3 linked regions of the Cricetulus griseus genome follow. The protein of the gene in region 1 purifies or fractionates together with the protein of each later gene. This does not show direct contact. Links are inferred from orthologs where the notes say so. Each region holds a gene or a part of one and is shown in the gene's direction. Other genes may lie near its edges. The genes, in order: dystrophia myotonica WD repeat-containing protein, Usp46 and Usp12.

What was found.
Region 2: the proteins of dystrophia myotonica WD repeat-containing protein (region 1) and Usp46 purify together in Homo sapiens (affinity purification with mass spectrometry; 5 studies listed by BioGRID and IntAct, counting the BioPlex papers as one, with this or other methods). This does not show direct contact. The link is inferred for Cricetulus griseus from reciprocal best matches to the Homo sapiens genes DMWD and USP46.
Region 3: the proteins of dystrophia myotonica WD repeat-containing protein (region 1) and Usp12 purify together in Homo sapiens (affinity purification with mass spectrometry; 3 studies listed by BioGRID and IntAct, with this or other methods). This does not show direct contact. The link is inferred for Cricetulus griseus from reciprocal best matches to the Homo sapiens genes DMWD and USP12.

What each region holds. Positions count from the first base shown.
Region 1 is NC_048602.1:28,287,992-28,292,174, reverse strand, and holds the start of dystrophia myotonica WD repeat-containing protein, read left to right. Parts: upstream 1-1,355; 5' UTR 1,356-1,392; coding exon 1,393-1,851; intron 1,852-3,879; coding exon 3,880-4,062; intron 4,063-4,183. UniProt on the Homo sapiens protein: Regulator of the deubiquitinating USP12/DMWD/WDR48 complex. Functions as a cofactor that promotes USP12 enzymatic activity.
Region 2 is NW_023276807.1:140,561,377-140,565,615, reverse strand, and holds the start of Usp46 (ubiquitin carboxyl-terminal hydrolase 46), read left to right. Parts: upstream 1-1,404; 5' UTR 1,405-1,548; coding exon 1,549-1,584; intron 1,585-4,239. UniProt on the Homo sapiens protein: Deubiquitinating enzyme that plays a role in behavior, possibly by regulating GABA action. May act by mediating the deubiquitination of GAD1/GAD67.
Region 3 is NC_048597.1:82,630,935-82,635,178, reverse strand, and holds the start of Usp12 (ubiquitin carboxyl-terminal hydrolase 12), read left to right. Parts: upstream 1-1,422; 5' UTR 1,423-1,668; coding exon 1,669-1,716; intron 1,717-4,244. UniProt on the Homo sapiens protein: Deubiquitinating enzyme that plays various roles in the regulation of the immune response and inflammation.

The sequences.
Region 1 (4,183 bases):
CATGGGATTCTAGGTAATTGAACGTCAAATCGACAAAGCCGACCATGGTCAGGAAAACAAAACCAGAAAACGGGGACCGACTCAGCCAGGCAGGGAGGGCTTCCTTCCCTTCCCTGTGTCAGCCGCAGGGGAGGGACCACAGGAAGGTTTAGGCTGCCAGGGGGACATGGGAGGGCAGAGGAGGCGCCCGCTAAATGAAAGGAGGAGCTGGGTGTGGCTGGCGTCTCAGGTCTGAAATCCAAGCACTTCCAGAGGCTGAGGCGAAAGGATTGGGCCCAAGTTTGAGGACAGCCCGGGCCACAAGCGTGAGACAAAAACCAGCGTCGGTGAGATGGCCCAGTGGGTAGGGGCACTTACTGCCAGGTCCCATCCCTGGGGCCCCCAAGGTGGGAGGGGACTCGACTCCCTCTGACCGCGCCATTGTGCGGGTCCACGCAAAAAAAAAGCAAAAATAAATAAATGCAGTAATTTGTTTAATTAAAAAAAATGCAAAAATAGGGCTGGAGAGATGGCTCAGAGGTTAAGAACACCGGCTGCTCTTCCAGAGGACCTGAGTTCAATTCCCAGCAACCACACGGTGGCTCACAACCGTCTGTGATGAGATCCGGTCCCTCCTCAGGCGTTCAGGGACAGACACATGCAGACAATGTTGTATACATAATAAATCTTTTAAAAAAAATGCAAAAATAAATGCAGTCATTTGTTTAATTAAAAATGCAAAAATAGCCTGGCGTTGGTGGCGCACGCCTTTAATCCCAGCACTGGGGAGGCAGAGGCAGGCGGATCTCTGTGAGTTCGAGGCCAGCCTGGTCTCCAGAGCGAGTGCCAGGATAGGCTCCAAAGCTACACAGAGAAACCCTGTCTCAAAAAAAACCAAAAAAGAAAAAAAAGCAAAAATAAATGCAGTCATTTGTTTAATTACAAAAATAAATGCAGTAATTTTTTAATTAAAATAAAAAAGAATCGCCTGGAGTCGTCTGTAAAACCCGAGGAGGATGCTCAACAGAGCCTGAGGGTTCTCCGTTGCTAGGCAAACGGCTCCCTGGGCGCGGTCGTCAGGGCCTAGGGCGTGGCTCTGGGCCACGCCCCCACGGGCCGGCGTCGGTCGCTGGCTGGCTCGCTGGCTCCCGTTGGCCACGCCCACACCGCCCGCGACCCCGCCCCCCAGCCCCTCAGAACCGTTACCTCAGCAACCGCCCGGGCTCCTCCCGCCTCCGGCTCGCGGGGTGCCAATCGCAGAGGCGTCACCCCGGACGGACGACGACCCTCCCACCCCTTCCGGCGCCAGGTCCGCAGCTTCCGGCTGGGTGGCGGGTGTGTGGGGTGGGGGGGGTGTCGAGCGGGCGAGCGGGCGAGCGGGCGAGCCCCCCCCTCCCCTCGCGGGCGGCCAAGATGGCGGCGGGCGGCGCTGAGGGCGTCGCGGGCCCGGGCGGCGCCATGGGCGAGTGCGCCGAGATCAAGTCTCAGTTCCGCACCCGCGAGGGCTTCTACAAGCTGCTCCCGGGAGACGCGGCGCGCAGGCCGGGCCCGGCCTCGGCCCAGACCCCGGCGCCGCCTCAGCCCCCTCAGCCGCAGCCGCAGCAGCAGCAGCCGCAGCCCCCTCAGCCGCCGCCCGGGCCCGCCTCGTCCCCGCCGCCCGCCGGCCCCGGCCCGGGTCCCGGCCCCGGTCCCGGCCCGGGGCCCGCGCTGCCCGCCGTCCGCCTCAGCCTGGTGCGCCTGGGCGAGCCCGACGGCGACGGCGAGCCGCCCTCCACGCCCTCGGGGCTCGGCTCCGGCCGAGACCGCGTCTGCTTCAACCTGGGCCGCGAGCTGTACTTCTACCCCGGCTGCTGCCGCCGCGGGAGCCAGCGGGTGAGCCGCTCGCCCGCCCGCCTCAGTCCCCGGTGGCCCCCCCGGGGTGTCCCCCGGCGAGCCCCACCGCCTCAGGCTGCCTGAGGAACGTTGCCGTGCGGGGTTCTTTGGGGCGGGACCCGGGCCCGGATGCCCCGGGGGGACAGGCACGGTGCGGGCGGTGCGGTGTTTTTGGGGACACAGTCGTCGTCCCCCCCCCCGGGAGGTGGGGAACGCGGGGGAAGGGGGGCCGCCCGCTTGGCGCGCGGGAGGAGGGAGTCTGAGAACCTAACCAGACCCAGGCGGGAGTGGGGAGCGTTTGCTAAGGGGTGGAGATGGCAGTCGCACAGGTTAAAAAAAAAAAAAAAGGCTGCAGGTGTGGCGTAGGGGTGGGCGGACAAAGCGACGGTATTGAATGGGATCCTAAGGAGTGCGGTGTCCTGTCAGGAGTGCGGTGTCCTGTCAGGAGTGCGGTGTCCTGTCAGGAGTGCGAGGGGACACGGAGGGGGTTGGGTGGGACGTGAGTCTCTGGCAGGGGCCATCATCCCCAGGTGAGGCAGACACCGCTAAAGCAATTGAGTCCTAGGAGCGGGAGGGAGGGAGAGAGACAGTGACAGAGAGACAGAGGGAGAGAGGGAGAGAGACAGACAGACAGACAGACAGACAGACAGACAGTGACAGAGAGACAGAGGGAGAGAGAGAGACAGTGACAGAGAGAGAGACAGAGTGAGTGAGAGAGAGAGAGAGAGGGGGGGGGAGAGACAGAGTGAGTGAGTGAGAGAGAGAGACACACACAGAGAGGGAGAGAGAGAGACAGGGAGAGGGACAGAGACAGAGAGACAGAGAGAGACAAAGACAGAGAGACAGAGGGAGAGAGACAGTGACAGAGAGAGAGACAGAGTGAGTGAGTGAGAGAGAGAGACACAGAGAGACAGAGGGACAGAGACAGAGAGACAGAGGGAGAGAGACAGACAGAGAGGGACAGAGATGGAGAGAGAGACAGAGAGGGAGAGACAGAGACTGAGGGACAGAGAGAGACAGAGGGAGAGAGAGAGACACACACAGAGAGAGACAAAGAGATAGAGGGGGGACAGAGAGAGGGAGAGACAGAGGCTGAGGGACAGAGAGAGACGGAGAGGGAGACAGAGAGGGACAGAGGGACAGAGACAGAGAGGGAGAGAGAGAGACAGAGGGAGAGAGAGGGGGGAGAGAGACAGGGGGAGAGAGACAGAGGGGGGAGGGGCTCCTGAGAGTCCAGGGGTGACCGTGTACCTAAAATATGAGGGAGCGTGATGCCTGATGGGTGTCTCAGCTATGACAGATGTCCTGAAGTTTAGGGACTCCAGATGAAAGGCAATGACGCCTTGGAGATGGCTCTGTGGGTGAAGTGTGTGCTTTGAAAGCGTGCGGACCTGAGTCTGGACCCCTGGGGCCCATGTAACCGCGTGAGCTCTATGTATGAGTCTGCAGCCGCAGTTCAGGCGGCAGGGCCAGGGGCCCTGGGGCTCGCTGGCAGCGGTCTAACTGCACTGCTGAGCTGCTGGTTCACTAAGAGCCCCTATGTCAAATGCTAGATGGAAAGCCACCCAGAAAGATGCTGAATGTTGACCTCTGACCCCCATTCCCATGCATAGTGCACACACATGCACAAAGGCATATGCCACATGTACAAAAAAAAATGGAAGAAATCCTAGGATGTTGGGATTTTCGAATCCTTGGGTCTGGGTCTGGGGTGGGGGGCTCCTGAAATACCGTGCTGAGTCCCACTGGAGTTGTCTTTGGATGTGGCTGGGAAGACTGGAGGAGAGTCAGCTCCAGGCCTTTGGGGACACTGTGGTCTTCACTGGGTGGCCTGCGTGTGAGCATGTGGTGCTGTCCTGGGTTTGAGTCCCCTCTCAGTCTGTGGTGGCCTGCCCCTCCCCAGCCTCCTGGCCACTTCCCTCGAGGTTAGCCCTGCTTCCTCTGGGTGGTTTCCCCGACCTCAGCTTCCGCTCCGTCCTCTCCCTGCTCTCACCCGCTAACTAACTCTCTTCCCACGCACGGCTCAAGTCCATTGACCTCAACAAGCCCATCGACAAGCGCATCTACAAGGGGACCCAGCCCACCTGCCACGACTTCAACCAGTTCACGGCCGCCACAGAGACCATTTCCTTGCTGGTGGGCTTCTCTGCCGGCCAGGTGCAGTACCTGGACCTCATCAAGAAGGACACCAGCAAGCTTTTCAATGAAGAGGTGACTGAGGGCAAGAGCCACCCCTTCTTGTTTACCTACCCACCCCCACACTAAGCTGCCTGGGAACAGAGTAGGCTTGAGAGGGGCCGGGTGAGGGAGAGGGGCACCAGTGACAGACAGC
Region 2 (4,239 bases), on another chromosome or scaffold:
TTTACCAATGTCTTTTCCCAAAATGGTGCCCAGCTGAGGTTAGCACACCTGCATCTATGCCATTTGGGTAGCAGAAACTGGGTAGGACACCTGATCTCTAAACCTTATGGAGCTAATTGTGCCTATTACGCATAGTCATGGAAGAAGTTGAAGGACTCCTAAAGTATATCGTAACTGGCAGCAGTAAAAAAATTAAAAATAAATTTTAGGTAGGATGACTAAGTGTGAGGAGGAATATTAGTCCTTCTACACACTGAAAAATGCAGTATCCACTTGATCCCCCAAATCTTCAGTCAGTAGTGTTTGTCTTCTATTCCCACCCCAGGTCCTAGAATTACCAATGGACAACTCTCACATGTTATGTGTATAAACCTATTTTCCCCCAGTTAGTTACTTTTGGCTAGATAAAGCTGTCTTCAATTATATTAATTTCTCTCCTAATTTAATTTGTCACAAAACACACTGGCCCAGCAATTTATCACGTTTCACAAGCACTGCTTCCCTGTGGGAAGCATAGAATTGTAACCTTGTCTACACAATTGTTCCCCACGTTTGAGATGGATTCTTTCAATCCTCATGAACTTATTCTTCAAGCGGGGTACACATTTGCAACCTGAGGTCTCTGCTTCTGCAGGACATGTAAAAACTCAAACAGCGTCCATTTCACAAAGCTGAGATCAGGAGCTCCGCGGGTGGGGGATACGGAAGTTTTGTTCTCATCTTTCCTGGACAGCCTCTAGTACCGCCTAGAACCTCTGCCTCTGTCACAAATCTCCGACAGTTATCTGCCTAGATCCGGAATTCTTTCCTTTCTGGCAGACCTTTTCCCAGGCTTCGGGGTTACTGCTGGCTAGGGCTTTCTGGCCACGCCCATGTCCTGGTCGTTTTTACTTTTCGGGTTCCGGCGGATGCCATCTGGCTGAAACCCAGGCGAGAAACTTTAAAGTTGGACTACAGTCACCCCTACTCCTTATATCCTCCGCTAACCAACACCTAAAGCTCAAGGCTTGTTGGAGACCAGCAGGAACAGAGGGAAACAGACAGAGGGAAATCGGGAACCGAGAGCTCTCGTGTTCCCGCGGTGCAGGTCCCCGGCCGGCGATCGGCCAGCGTCCAGCGCCCGGTGCGGTCCTGGGTCAGGCGGGAAGGCCGTGGTGCTGGGTTTATCTGGGGACCGTCTCTCGGTGCAGCCTGAGCGGAGCAGGACCCTGGGGCAGCGGAGCAAGAACGGCTGGCTTCCAGCGGGGTTGGGCGAGCGAGTCCGGGGGGACGAGCAGGCTGGCAGCGTGAGCCCAGGATTCCCGGCTCAGCGCCTCTCGACTCCGGGCTCCTCCTCCTCCCGCCGGCCGCGGCCCCGGCTGCGTCGCTCCGCCACTCCCCGCCCGCGCCGCCGCCCGCCCTCGCCGCGCCCGGCCTCTCTCGCCAACCCCACTGCAAGCCGGCCCCAGGCCGCCTCGCCGCCGCCCGGCCTCGCTGCGCGCCACCATGGACAGTCCCGTTTTCCCCTGGTAAAGATGGCGGTGCGCGATCGCTGCAACCTTTAGACTAATGACTGTCCGAAACATCGCCTCCATCTGTAATATGGTGAGTGGCCGCCGAGCCTCCGGGGGTCGCGCCCGCGGCGAGTCAGGCAAAGAAAGGGAACCCCGGGCTGGAGCTGCACGCGCGCCGTGGTGGCCGTAGGGGCTGTGCGGCCAGAAGTTCCCGGCCCCGGGGCAGGGCCGGCTGACCGCAGTCCCTAGCCTCTGTCCCAGTTGGGGACCTAGTAGATCCCGGGGATCCCCAGGGCGGCCCCATGCCCCCGCCCTCTAGCTGCGGTGTGGGCGGTGGGCGGTGGGTGGGGGCGAAGGGCTCGAGGTGGCACACCGATGTCCCGGGGAAGGACCGTGAGGGTACGAGCCCGGAGAGGGAGGACGCAGATCCTCCTGGTGCAGTAAATAAACCCTCGTCGGACTCCCTGACTGTCCTCTGAGTTCAGCCTCGATTGTATTTAAGATTCACTTTGCAACAGCAGTGCTCTTACCGGGAGAAATTGGATAGACATAAAAGCAGTGGAAAAAAATTCAAGTGCAGAATCTGGCTAGAGAGGTGAAGTAAAGCCGGGTATCAGAAAGCACGGAGGCGGATCTGTTCTGGAGGCCTCAGTTTACCCCACCTGCAGGAGAGATTGTACGGCAGTAACATTTGCAGGCCCTGGGGGAGCGAGGCAGCTGTGGGTGTGAGGAAGTCTGCAGGGGTCATCCTGCCCCGCCTCCTCTCCACTTAGCTTGGGCACTGCCCGGCATGTCACCGTTGTGATGGACTGAGGGGGCATGAGGAGTGGGGAGTGGGAGGTGGGGCATAACCCACCGGTCACTTCAGTGTGGATTTTCCCCATTACTTTGCTGTCCTGTTTAGTTTCCCTGAGACCTGTTTCCAGCCTTTGGGTCCCCTGTTACCTCCACTTGTGAGAGCCTTAGGGAGGTCAGTTTGGGGGTAAGGCATTGCCCACTGTGTGGGGCTTCAGGCTCTGCCTACACTCTCTGGATCCTCTCCCCTCTGAGCCCCTTCAAGCTGGAACACTGGTGTTTTTTGCCATTTTGGGGACCCCCTCACCCCACCAGATAGATAGTAATACTAGCCCCTAAAGGGAATCTGAGGAGGCCTGATTAAGAAGGCTTTAGGTAAGGTGATCTGGCTGCCCTTCCCCCCTCACACAGCCTTTTAAATCTTCTGTCCCACATTCTGTTGCAAGATCAACACATGGCACAGAGCATTAAGGAGCCATGTGTTAGCTCAGGTGGAGTTGAGACCTGCTGAGGCTGGCTCCAGCTTTCAGCACCGGCAGCCAAGGCCATGCCAGCAAGGCAAATGCAGGAGCTCCCAGAGTGATGGCTGCCTGCTTGGTGGTACAGGTCTCCTTAGATGATGGCAGTGGCTCCTGCAGCCTTGACATTTCCTCTTTCTGCTTGAAGACACAGGTTCCTGTCCAGTGGCATTAATGTCAATGGATGCCCTGAGAAGACAATGTATTTCTTCTCAGTGTCTTTGCTGTAACCCAGCTCCTGGGGCAAACTGTGAAACCACAGTGGCTTGAATGCTGTTTTTCCCACCTGTGGGGGTGGCCTCAGGCCTACAGGCTCCTGAGACTCAGTGCCTGCTTGTGATGCTGTTCTTGTCCAGTTTGTATTCAGTGACACTTCTCAGTATTGAAGCAGGGTGGAAACTCGAGAGCTAGCATGTCCCAAGAGGAAGTCTGCCTCTGGCTTGTTCTTGCCCTTGCTGTAGCTAGGACTTCTTGGCACACCTGGACATAATGTCACAACCTGTTTTCAGTGAAACTCAGCCAGAGAGACAAGCTTCTGGGAGGGCATGAAAGAAATGGGCCAGTATTGTGTCAATAGAATCAATGCTTCCTCTGGTGACCTAAAAGTACCAAGTTAAGGCCCATTACCCGCGCCCACCCCTTCCCATAGTGAAGTAAACCTAATACCTTCCTGTTTAAGCAAGTGGAGAGATATTTGCGTTCTAAGGTAAGGCTCTAGGTTCAATCCTGCTGATGTATTTATCTGTGGCTTGGATTTTTGAGACAGTCTCAATAGCCCAGGTAGACCTCCAGCTTGAGACTGCCTTAAACGCTGGATGACAGGTGTTCTTCACCCACCTCTCAAGTCCTGCTTGCAGCACACACCAGCTTTGTTTCTCTGATCACAGTGCTCTTTGCCTTGCTGTTGACTTGTAGAAATGGGCTGATAATGGTTGTGTTGAGTGATGAGTTCCTGGGGCTCAGGGCCATGAGTTCTCAGTGAGTTAGTTCCAGCCGCTCTGCTCAGTACTTTCTTTCTCATTGTGATGCCACCTTCCAGTCATTTCAGGGGCCATGGAAATCATGTCTTCTCCTACCTGAATAGAAACAGTCCATAGAGTCACTTATGCAAAGCCGGTCTGAATGACACTCTAGGAAAGCTGGGGTGGGAACTGGAAACCCCGCCCCTTATAAAAAGCTGCTCAGGTCGGTTCTGCCCCTCCCATTCTCATTTCCCAGTGGAGAAGAGTGGTGATGTGGAGACTGCTGTCTCTGACCCCACCGTGAGATACAAGCTCACTCTACCTCCGTGTAGAGACCTCACTTAACGATGAATTGTTTCCAGGTAGGTCTCTTCTGGGTCTCACTTGTTCCTGTGTTTCTCACCAGGTCTCTTACTTGATCCTTCCTGCTTTCTCCTTTTGATCCCCAGCTTGTTTGAGGAGTTGTAGGGC
Region 3 (4,244 bases), on another chromosome or scaffold:
CCATTTTTCTCTGTCTCTTGTGTTGGGGTTACAGGTGTATGTCATGATCATTTATGTTCTGAGAAAAGGACTCAAGTGGTTCAGGCTGGCCTTGAATTCGCTACATAGCTGAGGATGACCTTACCATACCAGGGTTTATGAAGTGCTGAGATGAAACCCAGGAACGCCTACACCCCACACAGCACGTTACCAATTAAGCCATATGTTCAGCCTCCACCCTGACCTTTAAAACATAGATGTTGTAGGCCCATGCTCGAAAGCCAAGCAAGCAGACACTGCATAGACTTGACTGGTGTCAACCAGAGTCCAAGCCCCTGGCATGGTATGGTATCTATATTAAAGAGGGAGACTCCTCCTGTATGCAGGTAGGCACCTGGAGAGAGGCAGCTGCCAGGGGAGCTTAGCAGTACTCGGTGGTGTCCCCTCCCCCCCGACGCTTACAATGGAATTGCTATGGAAACAGCATTCATGTACCAGAAATCCATTTCTCGACTAAATTTTGTTCGAATTCTTTGTTTCTTTAATGCTTTGTATAAAGTGAGGCTTACCAGGTTTTAGAGCTTTGTCTGAATTCAGGCCCTAAGTTCCACAGACAAGTGGGGGTGCTGTGGGAGGAAGAAAAGGTTCCTACCCTCAGATCGCCAATCAAAACAAACCACAGGCTTTCTAATGTAGCGATTGATCTTATGAATTTTCTGCGGGGTCCGTCCACTAGCTAACACTGCGCATGTGCTCCTCACACTCTGGCTGCAGCTTCCTTCTTCGGACATCAACACCCCTCCTTCAAAAATTCCGAGTTGATATCCCACTGTCAAGCAGGATTGGCTCCCCTTCCTCTCCTCCCCCACTACTGTTAATTCAAAGAGCTAATAGGCATACTTGTTTGTCTTTTTACCTAATTAGTCTCTAAGAAGGGAGTTTGGCTCAGAAAAACACCAAGTGCTTGGGACGCTTTGGAGGGGTTGCTCTCCAACTCATCCACAGTTTCCCAGGCATAGCCTCAGTTTTCTGTCTCAACAGTGGCGCTAGCTGTCCTTTAGAGCTGTGGGTCAGTCGCTCCGAAGGCTGCTTACGGTCACTGACGCCGCAGGGCAAAAAGCATCGCGCTTTTCCCCAAGACACGCTCTCGTAGTTAGGGTGGCGACTGCGTGCCCGCGCTAGGACCCAGAAGCAAGTAGGACGCGGCCCCCGTCTCGCCCCGCCCCCGACACGCACTGGGTGGAGCCGTCTCCCTCAAAGCGCGCTCCCTCGAGGGAGGGCGGGGCATCATGGGCGTGGCACAGCTGCGGTGGGCGTGACGGCGGCAGAGTGGGCGGGGCGGCACGACGCTGCCAGGTCGGCCGGGCGGAAGGGCCTTGCGCGGAGCTCGCTCCCCAGCGCGCTGGGCGGGGTGTGCGGCGAGCGGCTTCCCGGGCAGGCGCGGGCCCCGAGGCGGCGGCTGCGCCGTGCGCCGGGGCGGAGCCGGGGGCGGGCGGGCCGGCGGGCGGGCGGGGGCTGGGCCGGAGGAAGCCTGAGTGCCCGCGGCGACGACGGCAGCGGCGGCCCAGCAGGCTAGAAGCGTGGGTCCACGGCGGCTCCGGGTGCGGCTGCGGGCTGCGGAGCGAGCGGGCGGCCCGGCTCCCCGCGTCCCCCGCCCGCCGCGACTGTCTGGAAGATGGCGCCGGGCGGATGGAAATCCTAATGACAGTCTCCAAATTCGCCTCCATCTGTACCATGGTAGGTGCGGCGGCAGCGCGGCCCGGGCGGCGGGTCCCCGCCTTCGAGGCGCCGCCCGCGGCCCTGCTCTAGAGCGAGCGGACAGGGCGCGGGGCCGAGTGGCCGTGGGGAAGGCGTGCTGGACGCAGCAGGCGGGGCTGGGACCGACCCCGGGGCTCCGAGCTGCGGACCGGAGCTGGGGACCGGGAACTCGGGGTCTGGGGACCGGGGGTTCGGGTACTGTGCCTGGGGGCTAGGGCCTGGGGACTCAGGGGCGGGGGTAGGGGTAAGGGCTGTGTACTGGGTCTGGGGACTTAGGGACTAGGGGTGGGGACTGGGATTGGGGGCTGGAGCCGGAGACTCTAAACGGGGGACTGGGGACTAGGACCAAGGGCTGCAGGCTGGGAGTAGGGCTGGGGGCCGAGTACTGGGAACTGGTACCGGGAAGCCAGGGGACTGGGCCAGGGGAAGGGACGCGGCGGCCGCTGCGTTTCCGTGGGTCTGAGCGCGGGGTAGGGCGGGGGTCTGCGGCAGGAAGGAAGGGTCTCGATCCTGCCGGAGGACGGAAGTCCTGGCAGAGTTACTCCTCGGGCTAGGTGGAGTCCCGGGGCCCGGGCTCGGGAAGGGGGCGTGTGACGGTGGAAAGTTTTAAGAGTGCTGTTGAAATGTTCTCTATTTTCTACTCGCCGAGGAGAAACGAACTCTTGCGGTTTCCAACCTGTGTCCGTCCAGATGGCAGCCTTGTCGCTGAGAGTCCGCGTTAATCTTGAAAAGCTGCACTAGCTTTCCTGTCATTTGTTTTACTTTAATAGAGCAGACGCCGCAGTGTGGGGTTGAAGTACACAGACCCCGAATAGAGCGAAACGTGGGTGGGTTCCTAAACGTGTTTTTTTGTGCATTGCCAGAAGCACCACCACAGTTTCCCACATGATGTGACAAATTCATTAGCTCCTTTCTGAACTTGTACGTAGAGGTTGCGATTTATGAATCACCGAAAAAGTTATTATTTGCAGTGTGGGTCTGGAGTTACATTACCAAAGATTTGCACCATCCTGTTCCGTTTTTATGTCCTGGATTTCATCTAGGAGATCCCCAGACTTTCCACCTGAAAGTGATCTGTGCTTTTGCTTTAAGGAGTGGAGAATCAGGTAGGAAAAGTGGATTTTCTACTGCATTTTGTGGAACAGTATTTAAAAAAGGGTGGAATCCGTGGGTTTACAGTCCACAGCATCAAAAAAGTCACAGCAAGAAGGAATCACTGGAGAATCGATTTCCCCACGTGAATAATTGTTCTTTCATGGTCTTCAGAAAGGGGCTATATTAACAGTTTCTGGGGTTGGTTGTACTCATTACTTTAGACCTGCCACATAGGATTGAATCTTTTACAGTGATAATTTTACCAGATTGCTGAGCTCCACACCTTTTGGGGTCATAGTTCATTGTCAAAGTCTAGGGCTTCAGGAGTGGTGTGATTCCCATGGACTGACTGTTCCTTCACTCAGTTACATCAAGTTTACATTTAGCACCTGCTGACTAGCACTGGCAATACAGAAATGATTCTGGCCGTCTCTAGCAGGACGTTTTCGACCATGCTTCTACATCCAGGACTCTGGATGCAGAAGGATCACAAGCTCTAAGCAGATGGAGTTACACATAGGGAGACCTTGTCTTGAAAAAACACGCCCACAACAAAAGGCAACCCCTACTTTCATGGTGTTTACTTTCTACTTGAGGAAGACAATTCTCATTTACATAGTAATACAGTGTACCTGCCAGGATTCTGTAGCAAATAAGGCTTCTTGTCAAGGATGTCCCAAACTCACCCTCGTTAGACATGTGGTATGTGTATGCGTTTTGGCAAATAAATAGACATCCATGCCTGGCCAAAGAAATTGTTCCAAAGGTGCTATTAAGATCAGGTGCATCTTGTTCATACTTGAATAAATTCTACTCCTCTCCCTGAGTAGGTACTGAACAGGTCAGAGTGTAAGGAGGGCTGCTGTCCATCTTCTGGGAATTATGAAAGTGAAAATCAGGAATGACAAAGGCCCTGTAGGTTCTGTTTTGCTTGGAATGTGAACTGTTCCATCATCCATGGACTATGCAGCTGTCTTTTAAGGAGGTCATCTGACCTGAACAACACCACTCTGCCCACTTGCCTCATACAATTGCACAGCATTTTTGTGATCTCAGAAGTGCTGTGCAGTATGTCATGTGTCGTCTCCCCCATTTTTATTAGGTTATGAGGTTTTTTTTTTTTCTCTGCTGGTGTTTTGAAACAGGGTCTTCTGTAGGTCGCATAGAGTTTGAATTTGGTATGTAGTGGTGGCTTGCCCTGAATGCCTGATTGTCCTGCCTCCACCTCCCAGCCTCTTGGGATTTCAGGTGTACATCATCGTACCAGGTTTAGACTGTGAGGGCTTTGAAGTTAAAGACTTAACTGCCATTTAACCATTTGTACACATTTACTAGTGGAAACAGTCCTCCATTTACTCACAGGAGGTGAGTTTGGAGTAGAGGTAAGGCTGGGCGTGGAACAGTGGAGAGAA